2 linked regions of the Macaca fascicularis genome follow. The protein of the gene in region 2 interacts with the protein of the main gene of each other region in a pairwise test. Links are inferred from orthologs where the notes say so. Each region holds a gene or a part of one and is shown on either strand. Other genes may lie near its edges.

Region 1 (4,404 bases), on a different chromosome or scaffold from region 2:
AGTGCAAGCTGCAGACAGGCTCCAGCTGTCAGCTCCTTCAGCATCTGCCTCTGGTGCAGACAGCGGCCTCACTGGAAGTCATGCCTTTTCTGGGCAGCCTACACCCAGTGCTCAAGCAAGGTGAGGCAATCACAGAGCTCCCTGCCCTTGACCCAGGTTTTGTCGAGCCTGTGTTGCTGTTTAACTTCTCCCTCTGCCCAATAATGTTTCCTCTCCCTTCCTTTCACAGGTGCTGATTCATAAAAAAAATTGAGCTGGGCGCAGTGGCTCATGCCTGTAATCCCAGCACTTTGGGAGGCCTAGGAGGGCGGATCACAAGGTCAAGAGATTGAGACCATCCTGGCCAACATGATGAAACCCCATCTCTACTAAAAATACAAAAATTAGCTGGGCGTGGTGGTGCACACTTGTAGTCCTAGCTACTCAGGAGGCTGAGGCAGGAGAATCCCTTGAACCCAAGAAGCGAAGGTTGCAGGGAGGTGGAGGTTGCAGTGAGCAGAGATCACTCCACTGCACTCCAGCCTGGGCAACAGAGCGAGACTACGTCTCAAAAAACAAACAAACAAACATTGAACACCCCAACTTCTCAGCGTCTGCTTCTAGGGACCCCAACCCTCAATACTTTTTTTTTTTTTAAAGACAGAGTCTTGCTCTGTTGCCCAGGCTGCAGTGCAGTGGCACAATCTCGGCTCACTGCAACCTCCGCCTCCTGGGTTCAAGCAATTCTCCTGTCTCAGCCTCCCGAGTAGCTGGGATTATGGGCACGTGCCACCACACTCAGATAATTTTTTAATTTTTTTTTTTGTTGTTGTTGAGACAGAGTCTCGCTTTGTCGCCCAGACTGGAGTGCAGTGGCCGGATCTCAGCTCACTGCAAGCTCCGCCTCCCGGGTTCACGCCATTCTCCTGCCTCAGCCTCCCGAGTAGCTGGGACTACAGACGCCCGCCACCTCGCCCAGCTAGGTTTTTGTATTTTTTAGTAGAGACGGGGTTTCACCGTGTTAGCCAGGATGGTCTCGATCTCCCGACCTTGTGATCCGCCCGTCTCGGCCTCCCAAAGTGCTGGGATTACAGACTTGAGCCACCGCGCCCGGCCCTAATTTTTTAATTTTTAGTAGAGACAGGGTTTCCCCATGTTGGCCAGGCTGGTCTGGAACTCCCGACCTTAAGTGATCCTGCCGCCTCAGCCTCCCAAAGTGCTAGGATTACAGGCGTAAGTCACCGCGCCCGGCTGACCAACCCACAATACTTGTAAGTGGCAGGGCTGAGATCTGAACCCAGTCTGGCTCCTGACCATGTTACACTGCCCCTCAAAATAAAAGATGACTTTTGGGGATTGTTATGGTATGAATGAGGTAGTGGCTGGTATATAGTAAATGCTCAATAAATGGTAGTTCCTCATATTATTGCCCCAGACTATTGCTAACCCTTTCCTTCCTGAAAAAGATGCCAGTAGTACAGGTTCCCCAGATCCAGGGCGGGTGCTGGAGTGAGAGTCCCAGCTCAAGGGAGGGCTGGGCTGAGGTTGGGAGAGGCAGCGGGGTAGGGTGGCTGTAGAGTCCACCCTGCCCTAAAGGAAGTATGAAGGTGGGGCTGGGAAACAGCAAAGGGACCAAAAGCAGGGGCTAGAAAGATACATGCTTGCTTCCAGGGACAGCCAAGTTGAGCCCAGTGCCTGGTATGCAGATCCAGTGAGTCGGCCAAGGGACAGGCAGACGAGGCTACAACCCTAGGACTCCTCTGGATTCTATCAGACTCTGTGGCAAATTCATGATATTTTCTGTCTTCCCTATGTATTTATTGCCCCACCCTATAATGGGATAGGTCTCTCCTTTCTCTCCTTCCCTGTATACCTGCCCAGAAAAGATGACTTTCTTCCTCTTGTCTGCTGGTTTCCCTTTCTTCTCAAGAGAGAAGTCCTGGCTGGGTGCGGTGGTTCATGCCTGTAATCCTAGCACTTTGGGAGGCCAAGGCGGGCAGATCATGAGGTCAGGAGTTCCAGACCATCCTGGCCAAAATGGTGAAACCCTGTCTCTACTAAAAATACAAAAATAAGCCGGGCATGGTGGCAGGCGCCTATAGTCCCAGCTACTCGGGAGGCTGAGGCAGAAATCGCTTGAACCTGGGAGGCGGAGGTTGCAGTGAGCCGAGATCATGCCACTGCACTGCAGCCTGGGGGACAGAGCAAGACTCCATCTCAAAAAGAAAAAAAAAAGAGGGAAGTCCTTTCTGAAGTCTGACCTCCATCTCTTGTGCTGCCCTGGCTGACACTAGGGATTTGGGTTTCTATTAGGAACGGGGCAGAGGAGCCTAACTCAGCACTCTTAAGGAGGGATCAACGTCATTATTTACCACAGTAGAGCATACTCAGAAGCTCCCTCACTTTTGCCCCTGCAACCAGGCCCTCCCCCACTCCCTACAGCTTTCTTTCTGAAGGAATGAGGAGTCCCAGGATGGGGCCCTCTCTGGCTCTATCAATCTCTTTCTGGGTCTCTCAGGCTTCCTCTTGCTTCAGGGAACCCAACTCACCCTTGAAGACAAAGTTATAATCTTCCTCAGTTCCATTCCCCATCTTGGCTCCGCATGGAGGGTACAGGTGTCTTCAGGGGTAGAGATGACAAGTCTGTGTTGGCTCAATACCCTCAACCCTCAGCTCTCAAAAGATCTGGTCCTGCCCCTCCTCTCATTAGGGGTAAGGGGACTTCTGCAGCCAGAGGGATTGGGGGCCAACTCAAGGTTAGGCAGGGCCGAGGGAGGATTAGCTCTGGCAGGTGGGGGTGCTGTAAGGAAGCTGAGAGGACGGAAGCTGAGAACAGGAAGAGCAGGGTGGCTGGAGACCTGGGGCCCAGGTGGGTGGAGAGACGATGACGTCAGACAGGTTCGACAGGTTGGGTGTCTGCTGTCAGCCTGGCCTCCCGCAAGCTGGAGAACCAGCTCCAGCGGGGTTGGGGGAAAGCTAAAAAGGGACAGGACCTTCAGAGACAGGACCTTCAGAGAGAGGACCTTCAGAGACAGCCCACTGAGGGCTGAGTGTGCATTGCTGGGCTTCTGGAATCTGTGGTGAGGGCAAGTCCTCCAACTAATGAGCAAGAAATAGCCCCTTAGAAATCCACCTGATGGCCGGGCGCGGTGGCTCAAGCCTGTAATCCCAGCACTTTGGGAGGCCGAGACGGGCGGATCACGAGGTCAGGAGATCGAGAGACCATCCCGGCTAACACGGTGAAACCCCGTCTCTACTAAAAAATACAAAAAAAAAAAAAAAACTAGCCGGGCGAGGTGGCGGGCACCTGTAGTCCCAGCTACTTGGGAGGCTGAGGCAGGAGAATGGCGTAAACCCGGGAGGCGGAGTTTGCAGTGAGCTGAGATCCGGCCACTGCACTCCAGCCTGGGTGACAGAGCAAGACTCCGTCTCAAAAAAAAAAAAAAAAAAAAAAAAAGAAATCCACTTGAGGCCAGGCGCGGTGGCTCACGCCTGTAATCCCAGCACTTTGGGAGGCCGAGGCAGGCGGATCACCTGAGGTCGGGAGTTCGAGACCAGCCTGACCAACATGCAGAAACCCCGTCTCTACTAAAAAAATACAAAATTAGCTGGGCGTGGTGGCATATGGCTATAATCCCAGCTACTGGGGAGGCTGAGGCAAGAGAATTGCTTGAACCCAGGAGGCGGAGGTTGTGGTGAGTCGAGATCGCACCATTGCACTCCAGCCTAGGCAACAAGAGCGAAACTCCGTCTCAAAAAAAAAAAAAAATTGGCTGGATGTGGTGGCGGGTGCCTGTAATCCCAGCTACTTGGGAGGCTGAGGTAGGAGACTTGCTTGAACCTGGGAGGCAGAGGTTCCAGTGAGCTGAGATCCTGCCACTGCACTCCAGCCTGGGCAACAGAGACTCCTCAAAAAAAAAAAAAAAGGCCGGGTGCGGTGGCCCACACCTGTAATTCCAGTACTTTGGGAGGCCCAGGCGGGCGGATCATGAGGTCAGGAGAGTGAGACCATCCTGGCTAACACAGTGAAACCCCATCTTTACTAAAAATACAAAAAATTAGCCAGGCAAGGTGGCGGGCACCTGTAGTCCCAGCTACTCGGGAGGCTGAGGCAGGAGAACGGCATGAACGCAGGAGGCGGAGCTTGCAGTGAGCCAAGATCGCGCCACTGTACTCCAGCCTGGGCGACAGAGCAAGACTCCATCTCAAAAAAAAAAAAAAAAAGAGGCCTCGTGCAGTGGCTCCCACCTATAATCCCAGCACTTTAGGAGGCTGAGGCCAGCGGATCGCAATGGCAGGAGTTCGAGACCAGCCTGACCAATGTGGTGAAACCCCGTCCCTACTAAAACTATACAAAAATTAGCCAGGCGTGGTGGCGGGAGTCTGTAATCCCAGCTACTCAGGAGGCTGAGGCAGGAGAATTGC
Region 2 (4,384 bases):
CCGACACCACAGACATCTCAATTGGTTCGGCTTACATGATTCTGACCGAAAATAAAGTTGAGCAAAGTTCCCACTTGATGGATACCAAAACTGCTGCACCCAGATCAACTGCAGACAAGAGCAGAGCTTTGGATGGAAATTCTAAACAAGTGGGATCAAGACCCTGAAGCATTTCTTTGAATTGTAACAGGGGATAAAATGTGGCTCTCCCAGTATAATCCTGAAGACAAAGCCCAATCAAAGCAAAGACTTCCAAGAGGTGAAAGAGGTCCAGTCACAGCAAAGGTGGACTGGTTCAGAGCAGAGATCATAGCAGCATTTTGGAGGACTGCTCAAGCCATTTTGCTTGACTTTCTAGAAGACCAAATGATGATGACATCTGCTTATTACAAGTGTCTTCAGGAAGTCAAAGCTTTAGCAGAAAAACACCAAGGAAACGTCACCAGAAAAGTCATTTTCTGCCACAACAATCTCCTCATTCCTCTCAAAGAAGAGCAATTTTGCAAGAGTTTCTATGGAAAACTATTAGGCGTCCACCTCACAGTCCTGATTTGGCTCCTTCTGACTTTGTGTCCTAATCTCGAAGTTAATGACCTGCATTTTTTCCAGTTAATAATGTAAGACTGCATTGGCATGGTTAAATTCCCAGGACCCTCGGTTCTTTAGGGATGAACTAGGTGGCTGGTATAACTTTCAAAAGTGTCTTGAACTTGATGGAAATTGCGTTGAGAAATAAAGTTTATATTTTTAAACTTTTAACTCCATTTTACCCCACAAACTCTCCCCCTCATATAATAACAGCAATTCAATATTGCCTGACAAAGGACTTTGACACATTGGAGGTATATTCAGTTGAGTCACTCCTTTTACTTAGGAGTACAATTTGCATCTCCATGCACTTTAATGTAACAAAGCTTCGGCTTTGAGCACTCCAGTTCAGATTTTTCCCCTGCCTTCACTGGCTTCCAGCCTCCAGTCCCAGCTCCTGAAAACCTAACCGGCTTCAGGGAAAAAACCTGAGCTTTTAGGGATCCTCCCAATACCTCCACAGCCAAGAGGGGTGGAGTGCCATTCCAAGCCTAGGACTGCCACAGAGTTGACGCCCTGGCTCCCGCCTCCTCGCCTCCTCCCCTCCTCCCCCAGAGGCCGTCGCCCATCCCTGATCGCTGCACAGGAGGTCCCTGGTGGGCTAGGAAGTAGTATCTGAGGCTGCTGCGTCCCCACCCCCAGCCAGGTGACAGCCTCCGCGGCCACCTTCATGAGCGTGAACCCATCCCGGCCCTGCTCCCCGCTCCAGGAGGAAGGCGAGAGTTTAAAATTCCTCAAACTTAGAAGGGTTGCCAGTCCACGGAGCAGAAGGGCTCCCCCACATGTGCTGGACAGCCGCGAGTGCTCTCCAGGTAAGGACGCAGAAGTGACTGTTCCTACCCAGCCCAGACCTGATGGCCCGGGCGGGTGTCCCAGGAATCGCACACCCACACAACGCGCGCGGACACCACACGCACACACAACTCTGCACGGAGGCGTGTGCACAGGCACTGTCGAATGTGTTTTGGCCACCCAAGAAGATGAACAGGAAAACCAGGCATTGGACTATCCAAAACTTGTTTTCCTAAAGGGCACATGTGAAGAAAAGGCCTTTGCCCATCTCACTCCTGACTCCAGGGTGAAACTTGAGGGGTCCCGGACGGCTGCAGCGCTGCCTCCAGCTCCCCTGGAAGCGGTGGCTCGTCCCTAACTTTAACCACAGCAACTGCTGCGGAACGCGGGCGTCTCCGCCCAGGCTGCACCTGTTCCGGATTCGGAGCACCCAGCCTCGCACATCCCTTCTGACCTTGAAGGCATCCTGAAACTCACACCCTGCTCCCAGTTCGGCTTTACTCCAACCCCCTTCCCCACAGTCACTGAAGCTCTCTTGGTACCAGAGGGGCCGCGTCAAAATACCCATCCCCAGCAAATTCACAATGCTCTTCCCTGGGGTCTCCGGAGATAACGGAGCACCCCTCTACCCATCGCTTACCCCCACTCCATCCAGCTGCCGCGCCCTCACACCAGGTTGAGTCTCCTCCCTCTCCACCAAGTCCAGAACCCCCACCTCTCCCAAGTCCAGGGTTCCCTGTTGTGGGTATGCGTGAGGAAAGGACGCCTCGGAGGCGAACCCTCGAGAGCCGGCGCCGCAGAGCCCCTGGGGCGGGGTCCACGGCGGGGACAGGGGACAGCGGCGGGCGCACCGCGGGGGACCGTCCGAGCACGGCGCTCAGAGCTGGCAGAGTCGCCCCCGCGGTTCGGGGAACTCAGCTGGAACCCAGCCCAGGCAACGAAAGTGAGGGGCGCGGCGGGGAGGGGGCGACAGCACCGGCTTGGGGCTGAGCCGTGGCGCTGCGGAATCTCCAGGAGCCGGGCGGCCGGTCAGTGCGGGCGTTCCCGGAACCGCTAAACTTTCTCCGCCAACAGAAGTTAGGGACGCCGAGGACGGAGACGCGGGGGACACCAGGAGGGGTCTCCCGTCACCTCCCGCCTCCAGTAGCCGAGGGAGAAGGCGACCCTGAGTGCCAGGTGGCCCCGAGCGCTCCGCCCCGGCCCCGCGGCGCCTCTCCCGCGGCTGCGCTCACCTGGCTGTAGAGCTCGCCCACCGACATGGCCCGGGCCGGGCGGGGCTCAAGCCCCGGCTCCCCGTTGCACCGCGGCTCTCAGTCCGCGGCCGGCCCGCCTGGCGCCATGTTCCCGGGCTGGCCTGGAGTTTCTCGATCTTCTCGCTCTTCTCCGATCTGCCCCGCCGGCTTCCCGGAGGCACAGCGGCCGGCTCGCTCCCGGCGGCGCGACCTTTACTCCTGCGGCGGCGGCGCAGCAGCGGCCGGACAGGAGTTGCGAGCGCCGGGGGAGGAGGCAGCGCGACGCCGCTCCCCGCCCAGGTGTAGGGAGGAGGGAGGACCCGCGCGCGTCAGAGCGGACTGCCCGTGCGCCGCCGCGCCTCTGAGCCCTGCCGGTGCCCGGCCCGACGCGCCCTCCCGCGCCCCCGCTGCCACCTGGGCCTCCGGGCCGGGGGCGGGGCGCTCAGAGCGGAGCTCGGGGACCGGCGCGGGCCGCCCCCTGCTGGACGCCGCACGCGCAGGCACAGGTGCGCCCCGGTGCCAGCACCTGCCCTTCCACCCGCACCCGGCCCGGCGGAGTCCGGCACGCACGCGGTGCACACAAGAAAAGGGGAGAGGAACTAACCAGAGAGCGGGGAAAAGAGAGAAACTTCTATGGCTGGAAGGCCCCGGACGTTGTCCTCGATTTTACCTGGCTGTATTCAGCGCTTTCATTAAAATTCAGTTACTCGTAGATCGTTATTAAGGCGACCTGGACATACGTACACCAAGGATCTTCTCCTTCAAACTGAACTCTCTGCGCGGAAATCCGTCAGAAAGGTGGGAGTCGTAACTTCTTCTGTACAAATATTGGCCACTTTCGCCCACAGCCTCCAAGGAGACTCCAGGCCACTCCTCTCAGAGGGCTCTTGCTTTTCCGGGAAGTCTCACGTTCTCCCAACCCCCGTCTCTCCTACATGCAGACTCCCGGTCTTTCTGCCACTCACTACCTCGTTTATTTGTGTTCCCTCTCTGCCCATGGCACTTGGCTGCCTACAGCAACTTCAGCTCTTCTCCTACTTCCAGTGAAAAGTAGAAATTTCAGTCAAGAAAAAAAAAGACTGCCAGGAGTCTGTGGAAGGAGACCAGGGCTGTCAGACGAGACACTCCCTTCTGAAGGTGGCATGTGTCCCTGAACCAGGGGTGGCCCCTGAAAAGTGGTTCTCCACCAGAAGATCTATCTATACCAGCCGGGGCAGTTGTTCAGGAGCCTCAGAAGGTGATTCTCAGAGGCATCCCACCTGGAACGCAAGATCCCGTTGTAATTCACCTGTGCAGGCCTTCCCGTGGGCGCCTCCACAATGAGAGTCAACTGGGGAGCTTTAAGCGATCCAAGGAAGAGGCCCCAACCCAAGGAATTCTGATTTAATGAAGGAAGGGACCTGGGTATCCCAATTTTTAAAGCTCCTCTGAAAGTCTAAAGGACGGTACTTCCAGGGTGACACATGCATTGACCAAAGCTTGGGTGACTCTCATTGGACCTAAAATGGAACTCTTCATATCAGTGGCAAGAGCAGAAAGGAATTTTTTTTTCTCGTCCTCAAAAGTTTTTCTGCATGGTTCCCTTCCCCGGATTCCTGTAACTCTTAAAGTGTGTCCCCACCCCCCATGCCCACCATCAGCATCACCTGGTAACTTGTTAGAAATACAGGTTATTGGGCTCCACTGCAGACCTACTGAACCAGAAACTCTGGTGTGGGGCCAGTACTCATTGTTCTTTCTGCCTCCAGGTGATTCTCTCCTTTTTTGAATAA

What was found.
Region 1: the proteins of MYO5B (region 2) and RAB25 interact in binary tests that used the Homo sapiens proteins (3 or more experiments, as listed by UniProt). The link is inferred for Macaca fascicularis from reciprocal best matches to the Homo sapiens genes MYO5B and RAB25.

The regions. Positions count from the first base shown.
Region 1 is NC_088375.1:105,020,049-105,024,452, forward strand, and holds the start of RAB25 (ras-related protein Rab-25), read right to left. Parts: upstream 2,814-4,404; 5' UTR 2,572-2,813; coding exon 2,529-2,571; intron 1-2,528. UniProt on the Homo sapiens protein: The small GTPases Rab are key regulators of intracellular membrane trafficking, from the formation of transport vesicles to their fusion with membranes.
Region 2 is NC_088392.1:39,551,701-39,556,084, reverse strand, and holds the start of MYO5B (unconventional myosin-Vb), read right to left. Parts: upstream 2,834-4,384; 5' UTR 2,640-2,833; coding exon 2,613-2,639; intron 1-2,612. UniProt on the Homo sapiens protein: May be involved in vesicular trafficking via its association with the CART complex. The CART complex is necessary for efficient transferrin receptor recycling but not for EGFR degradation.